Linked DNA regions of Diceros bicornis minor. The protein of the gene in region 1 interacts with the protein of each later gene in a pairwise test. Links are inferred from orthologs where the notes say so. Each region holds a gene or a part of one and is shown on either strand. Other genes may lie near its edges.

What was found.
Region 2: the proteins of LNX1 (region 1) and POMGNT1 interact in binary tests that used the Homo sapiens proteins (3 or more experiments, as listed by UniProt). The link is inferred for Diceros bicornis minor from reciprocal best matches to the Homo sapiens genes LNX1 and POMGNT1.

The regions. Positions count from the first base shown.
Region 1 is NC_080747.1:41,675,752-41,683,141, reverse strand, and holds the start of LNX1 (E3 ubiquitin-protein ligase LNX), read left to right. Parts: upstream 1-4,383; 5' UTR 4,384-4,507; intron 4,508-7,390.
Region 2 is NC_080752.1:9,096,445-9,103,338, reverse strand, and holds the start of POMGNT1 (protein O-linked-mannose beta-1,2-N-acetylglucosaminyltransferase 1), read left to right. Parts: upstream 1-3,872; 5' UTR 3,873-3,947; intron 3,948-4,118; exon of another isoform or gene 4,119-4,411; 5' UTR 4,412-4,461; coding exon 4,462-4,581; intron 4,582-5,202; coding exon 5,203-5,317; intron 5,318-5,453; coding exon 5,454-5,572; intron 5,573-6,228; coding exon 6,229-6,294; intron 6,295-6,384; coding exon 6,385-6,498; intron 6,499-6,894. UniProt on the Homo sapiens protein: Participates in O-mannosyl glycosylation by catalyzing the addition of N-acetylglucosamine to O-linked mannose on glycoproteins.

The sequences.
Region 1 (7,390 bases):
TTGCCCTCCTGGGATCTGCTTATTTGCATCATGCTAAGTACTTGTAATTAGCCAATGAAAGATTTGGAGCTAAGCTAGTTTTTTTAAAAAACTGAGGCCAATATGATGGAATGTGTACAGCAATTCCATTTCATAATACTAAATACTTTCAGCCAAAGAGGTTTTTTCTAGAGGTGCCTTTTATTAAAATCAGATGGAATATGTTCACTTTTGTTGTGGCATTCAGTCATCTTAGACAACTCTACAAATATGCCATGAAAAAAAAAAGGAAGCAAACAAGGGCAAAGTAATTCTTACAATCACGAGGTATGGTCTTAGCAATAGGTTCATCGCCAGGGAGGAATCCTTGAGAATGCCAACCTTCATTGTGGTGATCTGGAAGGAAAGAGCTTTGAACAGAGGCCTCCTCTCCCCCTTTAGACTTCCCTGTCAAGATACATAAAAGAATTCAAACTAATCAAAAAGCCCAAGTCAGCTGGCTGGTTAACGAGGACAGGCCCAACCTTGACTTCAGAGAGCTTTCTAACACGTTCCACCTGCCTCTCCAAAGAACAAAATTTACAGGATATATTGACTGCAAAGGCGGCTTGCTTCTAAAGAGAAAGATGGTCATATGGTAGCCGAAATGGCAGACCACGGAAGTTTAGCTCAACACTGAAAACACTGTCGCTCTTAACAAATTACCCCATGCCCAAGATACTAAATTTCTTTCATTCTTTTCTTTTTTAAGCTGTTCAATCATCATGAGAGAAGTAGTCAGCAGTAATGTGAGGACCTGAAACAGTCAGCCCTTGAGGTTCTTTATGATCTGGTCCCACCTTACCCGTCCAAATTTAGTGTGTGATGGATCCTCTTCACCCCAGCAGGGTGAATCATTTTTCCCCTCCTCCCCCACCACGCCCCTCCTTCCCCACCACACGCAGGCTGGGGTCATCCCTGCCTCCATCTGTGCTGCTGCCCTGCCTGGAATGGGTTGCCCTTCTCACCATCTCTCCAAATCCTTCAAGGTCCAATTCATGTTCCATTCTCCGTGGAATCTTCCTCAATGGCACCAGCCAACACCAACCTTTTCCTTTCCTGATTATCCCTCCCACTTACTGTCAAAGGAGGGATAGAAATTGCTGCTGTGCTTGGACTTACATTGTGAAGATTCCGAGGTTACCTCTGAGCTCAAGGCTGCCATGGCCTTTTAGCAATGACAGTGAAAATGGTATGCGAGGAGGGCATGGGGCAGTGTGTGTCTAGTATTTGCCAACCCTGGTCTAAACCACCTCACTTGGCAGTGGCATGTACTGGAGCTTAATTTTACATTGTCTCATATTATCCAACTGTATGTTGTTCTATGTTTTTATGGTCGTTCTGCTAAGATTTTCAGATTTTAAAGGGATAGACTGTTGAAGTTATAGAGAGAAATGACCATAAAAGATGTCATAGAGAGTCACAACCGATCATTCTGGCGGGACCCCTTGAGTTGGGGCCTTCCCTTCTTGAGGTTGGTTTGATGGGCCTCCAAAAGATGATTTCAAGTGTGCACCCAGGGGTGATGGATTTCCAGGTGTGTTTTCTGATAAACACACGTATAAATATATCCATATGTATGTATGTTCTATATATATATACTCAGTGCATAAACCTGATTACTCATTCATTTGCAATTGGAGACATTCCTCCCCAGAAACTACACACCCCAGGGCTACTTCTACAAGACACTTGCTTCTGAATAGAGGGTAGGTAAGAACCTCGATTAGTACCCAGGCAGTTGCCCAGTGAGCATGAAATCAGAACCTTCCCCCCTTTCTTTCCAGCAGTTACAATTGTTCTGGCCCTGCCACTTGCTGGCTGTGCTGTGCTTAAGCAAGTTCTCACCTCTCTACGCCTTGGTTTTCCTAGCAGTAAACAGAAAGAGTGCTTAACTTACAGGGTTGTTGTAAAAAGTGCTTAGACAGTAAGTAGCACCTGCTAAACACTTATTTATAATTTTTTATAATTATTTTTTATAATTTTTATTTATATCTTTTCACCAATACTTAAGAAATATCATTTCCATAATAATGCAACAGCCCTAACGGAATAATGAGGCACATATTGATTTTTTAAACCTTTAAAGATTATTCTAAATCCAGGAGAATCAAATGCATCTCACTTGGGATGGCCGACTATGTGAAATACATCTAGTTTTTTCTCTTCTTTTATATACCATCCCTGGGAGTGAATTCCACTCCTGGGTCAACTCTTGTTCTTAATTTTTATTCATCAGACTATATATGCAGATGGCTGTATATATGTGAATATAGCAAGTGAAACCCTGTAGCCTTGAGAGGCCTTTGGATAAAGCTTTATGCACTGTCACTTCCTGCAAATTCTTTTCCCCTGCAAATACCCCACCACCACCACCAAAAAAAAACCTGTCTGTGATTCCTGCCTCCCAAGTCAGACCTGGTGCCCTTGGAAAAAGGTGAGGCATGACTGACACACAGGGTAGGCAGGCTGCTACAAAGACTGCTGGAGGCAAGGCCTTCTAGATGATTCATCAGGTTGGCAGGCTCACTCTGCTCCTCCTCCTCTCCCAGAGGACACCCTGTCCAGGGAAGGAGAAGCCTTTGTTGTGCTGGTGTTTCTCAGTTCAGTATCAAACTGTTGGACTGGTACTTTTTCCTAAAAGACCTGCATGTGAAAGCTTTGCAGCCTTCATCTTTTTGCTCTTGTCAATAATAAAGGGGTAGCCACACCTGTCTTAGTTTCTATTGGATAAAAATGAGGATGGGGGATTTTTGTTTTGTTTTGTTTTGTTTTTTAAGCTTCCAACACTCTTCAGAGCCACCAAGTTCCCTGGGTAGTTGAGAGCAGTCTGCTGTCGGCTAAGAGGAGAGAGGAGCTAGCTCTCCGGCAAGTGAAGTATCCAGAGCCCACCACACCAGCACCCTTGACTAGAATTTCTCCTCCTTCCCTCCCTGGTTGTTTTACAAGGTATTGAATGACTGGCTGCACCCAGTCAATGTCGAGGCCAAGAGAATGGAATTGAGACCTTCCTTCCCTCCCTCCTCCCCCTTCCCCCATCTCCCTCCCATTTATCCTTCTTTCCCCCCTTCCCCCAGCCAAAACCCCAACCAAGCAAATGATCCCCAAACCTCTAAAGTAGTACAATGTTAGAACATGTGGAACCAAAGTATTTCCAGTATCAGGAAGAGGGGAAAGAGGGGAAGAGAGAGACAGAATAGGGGGAAAAAATAGGAATTTCAACATTTTTTTCTTCAAGAGAAAAAAATATCTCTCTAGGCAAGCAGGCCACCCACCCTAGAGGGAGAGCCCACAATTTTTCCAGGTAGTACATTCCAGAGAGTGAATAAACTGTCCAGAGATGCCGGAAGGGGGCCGCAGAAATACACAACATTTAATACAAGGATAGGAGTTGTTTACAATCCTCTGAAAAATGCCCAAGAGTCGAACAGGCCTGGTAATCACTCACAGCTGCGCTGTGGTGCCGGCTGAGTTGTAGGTCTCTGTCTGCTGGAAAAGCTGAAGCAACACTGTGACTTGCCCAGGGTCACACACCAAGCTTGGGACAGAAACAATTCCGATTCCTCCTTCCTGGCTCTCACAGCAGTCAACGCTGCCACCTTATTACTGTACTATCCTTCAAATCTGAATCATTTAAATTGCTCCTAATTGCAGGCCTACAGTGAACTGTAACCTCCACGTGACTCTAACTGCTAGGCAAGCTGAGGTCAGAAGGACTGAAATTTTACAAACTCCTGAACATGGAATTAAGATGTTGGGAGGGGGTGGGGGGTAGGGAAAAAGTGTTTGAAAACTCGACTTCGAAACTGCTGACAAATACCATATTTAGATTTCTTTTTAAAAAAAAAAATGAATTTGAAATGTCACCTCCAATTTGTTATTCTGTTGGAACAGAGAAGCACTTGGAATTCAAATGGATACCATTCAAAAAGGCATGTGGGGGTAAATTTCATATTTTCCAAGCAGTCAATCTTCACACACTTCCTTTTTTGCCCACTAAATTACCGTCTCGTTTCGGTGTTTAAACTTCCTTTTTAACTCTTTTGTAGGCAGCTCTTGGGAGGTGGTGGGAGGAGGGGCCCTGGGAAGCAACCAGGCCTATAAATTCAGATCTGTCCACGGGCCTGGACACGTGCTGTGCTCAAGAAAGAAAGTAAATTCCATCCGGCAAATTGCTCTAATTGATTCATTTGTCCACCAGGGACACCACCTACCTGCTTGCAGGTATTCAGGTAAATGACAGGCGGGCGGGACCTACTGGCTGTTTCAATAGCTAAGGTCCCAGCAATGTTTTATCAGTCCAGGCTTCCGTGAGGTCACACATTTCCTGCTCCCGACCGACCAATGCCCTCCTCCTTCCTCTAGGCACCTGTACACAGAGGTTGAGGCTGTTCACTGCTCAGGCAGCCCAGGGAGCTGTGGGATTCATCCGCAAGGCATGAGAGCTTCGAGGCTGCTGCTGCTTTGAGAGCCCCAGATACTTGAAAAGGTGAGCTGAAACCTCCATTTTTCTCTCTTGGCGTTTAGACCACTGGCCCCTGAGGGATCTGAATGAGGAATTTGAATGAAAAATATAAACTCAATGGCTCAGCCCTGGGTGTTTGTCCCAAAGGGAGAAGCCCTTTTGGGAGGGAAGAGTAGAGGGATGCCTTTGACATTTTGGTTGTACAGGAAAGTCCTTCCAGGCCAGATATTTAATCCTTTTTGTTTCTCCTAATCATTAATCCAGCCTCTGCTTGTCTGGGAAGTTAATCTGATTTTTTTTTTTTTAACCCAGGAGTGGAGACTTTTTTGAAACTTGACTCAAAGGTACAGACCTGTTCAGCCCGTTTCATGGGGGTTGGGAGGCCAGCACTGACTGAATTCGGAGTTGTCTTATTTTTGCCTTATTTGCCTTATTTTGCCTTACTCTCTGCGTTCATCTTACCAGAGGCAATTTCAATCTAAACCTGTGAGATGTTCCTAAAGTTTTTGTTTTTCCCCCCAAGTCTGTTACTTAGATGGGTAACTTCTGTTGCCCTCCTCAGAAGCCCTCCACTCCAGTTCTCTCCTCCCTCTTTCTTCTCTAAAAAAAGTCTACTGTTTTCTTTGTTCTTGGTTGGACACTTTTTAAAATCACTTTGCAGTCTGGACTAGAATTGTTCATATTCAGACCTGGACTGGCTGCGTGCTGAGCTTCAGTTAAAGTAAAGATTATTTCCTCAGTGCTTAACAAGAATGTAAGTTCAGGTCTGATTTTTCATTTTTCTGAACTCCTCCACTTTTTCCTCTCTTTTTCTTTTGATGGCAAATATACCGAGGAGATTGTTCTGCTAGGACCTGACTTGAAGTAATTTTACCTCTAGGATCCATTTTTGTTTTCTTAATCCTGATCACACAGCCGGTACTACTTCTGTTCTAGTCAGCCCAGTAGCCACACTCTACACACAATGCTGTTGTTAGAGAAAGGAAAAGAAACCATCTCCAAACCTAGTTCCCTGCTAGGATGAGCTGGAAAACTTGGGGAGAGAAATCAACTTGCGAGGGATTTTTCATTGGCGATTTTTCTGAGATTTCAATTAGCAAATATGTTTGCAAGAGAATAACCTGTTAGGAATTATGCTCGTATTCATCCTCCCAGAAATTCAAAGTGCATGTCAATTCTCCAAAAGTATAAATGGAAACAAGCTCAGAAGATTTTTGTCTCAGACTGTTCCTTATCACCACTGAGAATCTGCCCTGTGCTTGTTGCCAATTTCTCTCTCACTCCTTGGAGGTTTGTATTGTTCTGTAACTGACCCTTGTGTCTCTTCTTTTCCCCTGAGCCGGTGTGTTTGAGTGGTGGCTATGGCTTGTCCCACGCTAGTGTTCTTACTTGGTTCAGAGTTTTGTCAGCAGAGGAGAGAAAAAGATCTCTGAGATCCTGAATCTTCCAGATAAAAATGTGTCTTCAAAGTCACAAATCTCGCTACAAGATTGCGTTCCCTCTGGGTTACCTTTGTATAGTTAATTTATGATTAAACAAATCATTTCATCACTATATGTCAGAGCCCCTGGCTATTAAAGGAACAAAGCTGTGGATGCTGTAGCCCCAGATATAAGAAAGGAAAAAAATTACGAAGACTGGAATTTAGGGTCAGGTTATCTAGAATGCAATTGGTCTGTTGGATAAGTTGCACATGAGTATTTTCCAAACAAGTGAAAAAGTCCACAGTGGTTCCCTTCCTGTGGTAACTCCATCTCTTGGTTCAAGTGGCAATAAGGCCTGATTGAAAAATATATTCTTTCTTCCATTTACATCCTTGAGTAAGTTACTCAACTTCTCTGACCCTCAGTTTCTTCAACAGTAAAACAGGAGATAATCTCTTACGACACAAAGTGGTCATGAGAAATAAATGAAGTAACATACATAGAGCGACCAATGTCTAGTGCCGGGTGGGTGCCAAATAAAGGCTAGGTCCATCGTTCTTGAAGGCATTTTCCTGGGTTGCTTGTAGGCGATAGTTTGATCCTACTGAGATAAATGATCTTATGTGGTTGCAATTGTTAGGACCACTGATCGTTCTCATTATGATTATTAATTGTAAGTAATTAACTCCAAGCTTAACAGTTTGGAGAAAGAAAACAGGCAGGAGGCAGGAGAATGCTTAAACTATGTCATTAAACAGGCCAGGCAGACTCGTCTCCGCCAGCCTCCCAGGCCATGTCTAGGAGCTTCCGGCCACTGCTGTCACTCCTGCCTTTCCCCACCTCAAGGATCTCATCCCACAACAGACCCACAAAATGTGGTCCTCCACAGACCTTCGGGGGAAATGTCCTGTTGTTATCTGCTGTCATCTGACTTGGCAGGCAGCCCTTTCTGCTCTCAATCGTGCTATCTCCAGGGCAGACCGAGCTTGGTCTGCTCCAGTCTGGCAGATAAATAGCCTTCACCGCAGCCTGGCGAGCTACCATGCCAAGTCACTGGTAGCAGGAGGCAGCCAGTTTGGAGCCTGTACTGTACTATGGAAGGGGGACTTGTGGATCCTTTGGATATGATTGCCCCCCCGCCCCGCCCAATGGAATATCCTGTGCCCTCCGATGACCTTGAGTCATTGCCTAAGAGCAGGAGTGTTCCCAGGCCCCTGGGACCTTCTCCAGGTCTCATCTTATCCTGAAAAGATAAGGCAGGTTTTCATCATTCAAGAGCAAGGTAACAGCCTAGTGGATTGAGGCCAGGGGTTCATAACCTTGAACCTACTACTAGCTTGCTTAGGGGATCCTGGGGAAGAACCTCAACCTCCCTGTCCATCAGTTTCCTTGTTCACCTTTTCCCACATGTGGGATGCTGAAGTAGCGTACTTCACACCCGCCCTGCGTCCTGTGACAGAAGCTAGATGGGCGGCATGCCTAG
Region 2 (6,894 bases), on another chromosome or scaffold:
GGGTCCTCCTTTCTCCGCTGCTAATGCGGAGCGGAACCGGTGGGTCCCCGCCCGCGCCGCGTAGGGGCGGGAGGAGGGCGCCGTAACGCTCAGAAAAGCCGCGCAGGACACTGTTTGCGTGTGTGTATATATATATATTCGAGTGCTGCGCACGCTGCCTCTGGCCCTGGAATGCGTGCGGCTGGGCGATTCTGGGTTTGGACTTGAAGGAGCCCTCGGAGAGCTGAACGCCTTCTCCCTACCCTGGCACTGAATCCAGCCAGGCACACAGCAGGCGCCCAATAAATGTTTGCTGAATGAAGGCTAAGCATCCTCAGTTAGAGCTATGGGAATTTAAGGAACAGTGATAAAAGAGCTGCAGAGGGTTTTGGAAGGCTTCCTGGAGTAGATGAGCTGGGTCTAAAACAGTGATTAGAATTTAGCTAGTCACTGACACACACGCATACACCCACAGTGTGGCCGCTGAATTTATTTATTTATTTTTTATTTATTTATTTTTTGGGGGAGGAATATCAGCCCTGAGCTAACATCCATGCTAATCCTCCTCTTTTTGTTGACGAAGACCGGCTCTGAGCTAACATCTATTGCCAATCCTCCTCCTTTTTTTTTTCCCCAAAGCCCCAGTAGATAGCTGTATGTCATAGTTGTACATCCTTCTAGTTGCTGTATGTGGGGCGCGGCCTCAGCTGGAGAAGCAGTGCGTGGCTGCGCGCCCGGGATCTGAACCCCGGGCCGCCAGTAGTGGAGCGCACGCACTTAACCGCCAAGCCACGGGCCGGCCCCTGGCCACTGAATTTAGACTAAAGGAGTGGAAAGGAAAGTTCTTCTGGCCAATGAGGAGCAACCAGTATTGAAGCTGAAGAGGTCCACAAGGGCCAGATCATACGTGATCTTGATACTGATGCTTCTTAAGCTTGACTGTGCATATGAATTATCTGAGAATCCTGTTAATATGCAGATTACTGTTCTGTAAATCTGGGGTGAGGCCTGGACTTCTGCATTTTTAACAAGCTCTCAGGCAATGGCCATGCTGCTGGTCCAGGGAACACACTTTGAGCAACAAGGTAATGGAAAATGGTTCTAAGGTGCTTAGATTTTATTCCACAGGTAATGAGGAGCCATGAAAAACTTTTTATGGTTTGGCTTGGTTTTGGATTTTAATCCAAGTAATTCCAGTCCATGGTTACCGAAGGATTTACAATGAAAACATAGTTACCCCTGCCCTATCCTTTCCCACCTCTAGTCCCACTCCCCAGAGGCAACCACTTTTAGCTATTTTTTTCTGGTGTTTATACCTATAACACCACATAGGTTTATACTGTATCACTAGTTCTTCATTTTAAAAATTGTCTACTGACTTCCTATTATGATAAATACAACTTACCTTACTTACACTCCTTACTTCCCTTCTTCCATTGGCCCTATTTATTTCTATCATTATTTTTAGTTCATTCAATGGTTACCTTCGTAATTTTTTTTTTTTTTTTTTTTTTTTTGTGAGGAGATCAGCCCTGAGCTAACATCCGCCAATCCTCCTCTTTTTTTGCTGAGGAAGACGGCCCTGGGCTAACATCTGTGCCTATCTTCCTCCACTTTATATGGGACGCCGCCACAGCATGGCTTACCAAGCAGTGCGTCGGTGCGCGCCCGGGATCCGAACCAGCGAACCCCGGGCCGCCGCAGCGGAGCGCGCGCACTTAACCGCTTGCGCCACCGGGCCGGCCCCTACCTTCGTAATTTTAAGTAATATATTTCTCCTTAACATCTCTTGATTCATGAAAGGGTTTTAAATCAGAGATTGACAAAACAGATTTCCTTTTTTGAAAAATTACTCTGGATTTTGCAAGAAGAAAGGATTGGAGGAGTAAAAATCTGGAGTCAGGGAGAGCAGTTGGAAGGCAAGCAAACGAAAAGGACTGCACCAGGGGCTGGTTGTGAGGTTGGAGAAGAATGACACCAGAATGAAGGACTCTTTAGGGGGTAATATTGACACGATTTGGTGACTAATTACACTCATTTATTTATAGTGGCATTCAATAAATATTTGTTCAAAAAACGACAGATTTCAATAAGTATTATGGAGAGCCTACTATGTGCTAGCCATTGTGTGTGGTGCAGAGAATAAAGTGATGAGCACACAGACGTGGACTGGTTGCTGAACAGAGAAGAGGAATCAAGGGTGACTCCCAGCTGTTTGGCCTGAGGCCATTCACCAAGCAAGGGAGCCCAAGAAGAGGTCCAGGAGTGGGAAGAGATGATTCCAGCAGGAGTCGTGTTGAGTTGGAGGGGCCTGTGAAGATGTCCAGCAGGCAGTTGGACACAGGTCAGCCTGGAGCGCAGGAGAAAGGTTAGGACTGCAGATATGAGTCTAGGAATCAAGAAGGTAACCGAGGTCAGGAGAGGGGATGAGATCTTCAGGGAGACTGAGTTTGAGGAGAGACGAGAGTCAGGGAGGAACACTGAGGGACATCTTTTTCAAATGATAACAAAATGTATTGAGTTTTCTTCTGTTCTAATACGTAGTCATTAGGAAAAATCACCTATTGCCTCAACTCCTAAGACAAGTACTGTTAACATTTTGGGGGATATCATCCCACCATTTAGAAAACAGATGGACTACGGAGAGCTCAGAAAAATCTAACTGGTCTTCTGGCGTCCTGTTTCCTATTAGCACATTCTCCACAAAAAGGTAAAAGTTCTTTTAAATCAGATTATGTTGCTCTCCTGCTTAAAACTGTTCCATGGCTACCTACTTCAAATAAGTGTCACTGTCACCTAGAAACTTCTTAAAGATGCAGCATTCTTCTCTGCCCCAGATTACTGAATCAACTTCTAGGAATGGGGCCCAGCAATCTGTGTTTTTTTTTTGTGAGGAGATGAGCCCTGAGCTAACATCTGCCAATCCTCCTCTTTTTTTTTTTTTTTTTTGCCAAGGAAGACTGGCCCTGGGCTAACATCCATGCCCATCTTCCTCCACTTTATATGGGCGGCTGCCACAGCATGGCTTGACAAGCAGTGCGTCCATGTGCGCCCGGGAGCACACGCACTTAACCGCTTGCGCCACCTGGCCAGCCCCCCAGCAATCTGTGTTTTAACAAGCCCTCCAACAGATTCTGATGCACACTCAAGTTCAAGAACCACTGTGTTAAGCTAACTGCTTTATATGTATTATCTCATGTAACCTTCACATCAACTCTCTAAGTATTACTATGGTGCAGGGGTTAAGAGTGGACTCTGGAGCCAGGCCGCTTGGGTTTGAATTCTAGCTCTCCCAGCTTGGTGACATTGGGCCTCATTAGTAATAGTACCTACCTCATGGGGTTGTTGTGGAATTAAATGAGTTAATATAAGTAAAGTGTTTAAAACTGACTGGCATACAGTCTGCATCATATCAGCACACCCCTATTTCACAGAGAAGGGAACCTACGCCAAGACCTGAAGTGACTTGCCCAAGGTCTAGGTGATTAGCAGAATCAGGTTTTTAATGTCCCTCGGCCTCCAAAGGCCCTGCATGCCCCAGACCTGGGAGAAGCCTCGCCCAAGCAAGGGGCCAGGGTCGCTGTGTCCCAGGCTTGTCGCCCCTCTGACCCCGGAGCGCCGTGGGGTCTGGTCCAAGGCTCTAGGACTCCGACTCGCATCGCTTTGCCATCCGGCAGTGATGGCGGCGGAGAGGCTGCCCTCCCCCAGCAGCCCCCATCCCGCCGCCCGCGAAGCGGCCGCGGCTCCGAGCGCTCGCGGAGTCACGGGCTGCAGACCGCCCGCGCCGCCCTAAGCGCCGCCCGCCGCCCTCTCACCCCGCGGCGGCGGCGGCGGCGGAAGCGGGGAGGCGGGCCGGGCCGCGCCGGGGCGGGGCCGCGAGCGGCATGGAGGAGGCGGAGGCCTCGGCGCGCCGGGCCGAGCCGTGCGGGCCCGAGCGGGGCTCCCGCGAGGCTCGCGGCCCCTGAGCCGTGAGTGCCTCCGGGCGGGGGTCTTGGAGGGGTGACGCGGCCAGGGCAGGTCGCCCGAGTCGTCGGGAGCCCCGAGCCCCGGGAGGAGAAGAGTTGGGTCACGTAGGAGGGGGCGAGGACGGAGGACGGGGAGGGGGGGGTGGGTCGCTGCCCTGTGCCCGCTCTAGGACTGAGAAGGCTGGGTCTTGGGCCTTTTAGGGGCTGGTGAACCTTGAGAGCCGATTATTTGGCCTCCACCGCTGGGACCCTGGGCAACCCTTCAGTTCCCCCAACCCCAAGGGAGTTTCCAGGTAATCTGACCCCTCTGAAGCTTTTCTTTCCAGAGAAGTTGAGCCACTTTCCCCAGGTCACACAGCATGGATGCCTGCAGGGAAGAGTTGTTGGGAGGCCCTCCCTCATCTCCCCAGAAGGCATCAGACTTTGGGAGGAACACCTTACCCCATGTGACCCTTTGGTCCCTTAAGATTCCTGAAGGCATGGGTTGGCCAGGACAGCGGTGACCCCCCAATCCAGCATGGACGACTGGAAGCCCAGCCCCCTCATCAAGCCCTTTGGGGCTCGAAAGAAGCGGAGCTGGTATCTTACCTGGAAGTATAAACTGACCAACCAGCGGGCCCTGCGGAGATTCTGTCAGGTACAGAGATGTCCCATACCTCCCCGGGGGCTGCCTCCCAGCTTTACCCCAGCCTAGACTGTGGGCACTGGGACCTACCTTGGCTGCCCCCACCCTGGAAAGGGACAGCAGGTTCCTAGAGGGAAACCTCTTTGTGCCATGTTCCTATCAGGTAGCGGTTTAGCCCCAGAGTTCTGGAATCAGAACCCAAGTACAACCTCCCAGGCTTCTGACAAACCTGAAGTCGGATCAGGAAGGCTTTGCCCAGGGGCACACACCTGTCAGGCAGTCAGGGCTAGGACCCAGGGCTCTGATCCCCAGCTTGGTTCTCTGGGACTGGCTCCATCTCTAGGAACTAATTGTGGAGGGGACCAGGGAAATCAAGGCCTCAAATGGAAGACTACAGGAGCTCTGGGTAGGGAGGGCCCTGATGAAGTGGGAAGGGTCAGGGGAGTTTCCCTGGAGGAGGTGGTCATGAAACTGGACCCTGGTTGAGGGAGTAGAGCTGGGCAGACATAGGGAGCAGAGACAGGCCCCAGGTTCTCCCTGTGTCCTCACTACAGCCGGGGCCCTCCTTTCAGAAAGACCCTCGATGAGCTGGAGGAGGTGCCTGTCTTTAGTCGTGCCCACCCCTCCCCTCAGACAGGGGCCGTGCTTTTCCTACTCGTGACCGTCATTGTCAATATCAAGTTGATCCTGGACACGCGGCGAGCCATCAGCGAGGCCAACGAAGACCCAGAGCCAGAGCAAGACTATGGTGGGGCCAGGCTGAAGATGCTCGGGTTGGTGGGGAGGGGGGTGTCTCTTGAGATCTCATGGCTGAAATGGCAGGCAGATCCCAAGAGGTGAGACTCTGCTGGAGAGACTTTCCATGACCTGTCGCACGCCCGCAGATGAGGCCCTGGGCCGATTGGAGCCTCCCCGGCGCAGAGGCAGCGGTCCCCAACGGGTCCTGGATGTGGAGGTGTACTCGAGCCGCAGCAAAGTATACGTGGCAGTGGATGGCACCACGGTGAGTGGGCCAGTGTCTGGTGTGTAGTCACTCTGTTCTATGTAGGGCGTGGTCCACTGGCTCTGGGGTCACTGCCTGAGTGGGAACTGCACCTCTGCCAGTTTCTAGCTGTGTGACTTTGGAGGCCTTAGTTCCTCATCTGTGGACTATGACTAATGATTTCTACTTGTGAGGATTAAATGAAAATCCTGTGAAATGTCTTAGATGTAGTGGGATATTATCAAAAGTGATCATTAGTATTAGTAGGCAGTTAATTAATTGATTTATTTATTTCATAACTACTTCCTGGTCCTTTCTTTGGCCTCAGCCTTGTGCCACACTCTGGAGACCTAGAGGTAATCAGACCTGGCCCTACTTTGAGGGGCTCAGTCTGATGGATTGTAATATCTCCAGCATGAGAGAGGAACAGTCAAGGGCTCTCAGAGCCATGAAAGCCATGAGGGGAGACTTGTAGAAAGATGTGGTCTCTTTTGCTGAGAGTGCTATGGAGGCTTCTTGGAAGAGGTGGCCTTCAAGCAAGGCTAGAAGAGAACTGTGTGAACAGAGGCATAGGCAGGAGGGGAGGTTTCATGCAGCTGGTTTTCTAAGTGCCCATAGGACAGAGAGGCCTTGAATGCCAAAGTAAAGAGCTGGACTTTTTCTCTGCCATCCTGTAGGTACTGGAGGACGAGGCCCGGGAGCAAGGCCGGGGCATCCATGTCATCGTCCTCAACCAGGCTACGGTGAGGTTCTAGGGGTGGAGGACCTGGAGGGCCAAAGCTGAGCCCTCCTTGCTGATGACACTAACTCACGAGAGTTGTGTCCCCTGCCAGGGCCATGTGATGGCAAAGCGTGTGTTTGACACGTACTCACCTCATGAGGATGAGGCCATGGTGCTGTTCCTCAACATGGTGGCACCTGGCCGAGTGCTCATCTGCACCGTCAAGGTCAGTGCCTCTGCCCTGGCCACATCCCCCCCTACACCCCCAGCTCCAACCCTGCTCGTGGCCCTGGGTTCTCTGCCTCTAATATGGCTTAGTGGGAAGAGCCTCTGGAGGAAGGTGACTCAGGTTCCAGTCCTAGCCTTGTCATTTTATTAATTCAGCAGATAGTTATTGAGCACCTACTGTGTGCCAGGCACTGCTCTGGGTGCTGGGAATACAATGGGAGGCAAGACAGAGTCCCCACCCTATGGAGCTTCCTCCAGCAGGGCAAGATCAGCAAAAACCAGCCAAATAAGTAAATGTAGAATGTTAGGAAATGATAACTCACATTATAAGAAGAAAATGAAGCAAGGGACACAGAGTGATGGAGGATGCATTTTAGGAAGAGAAGTCCTCTGT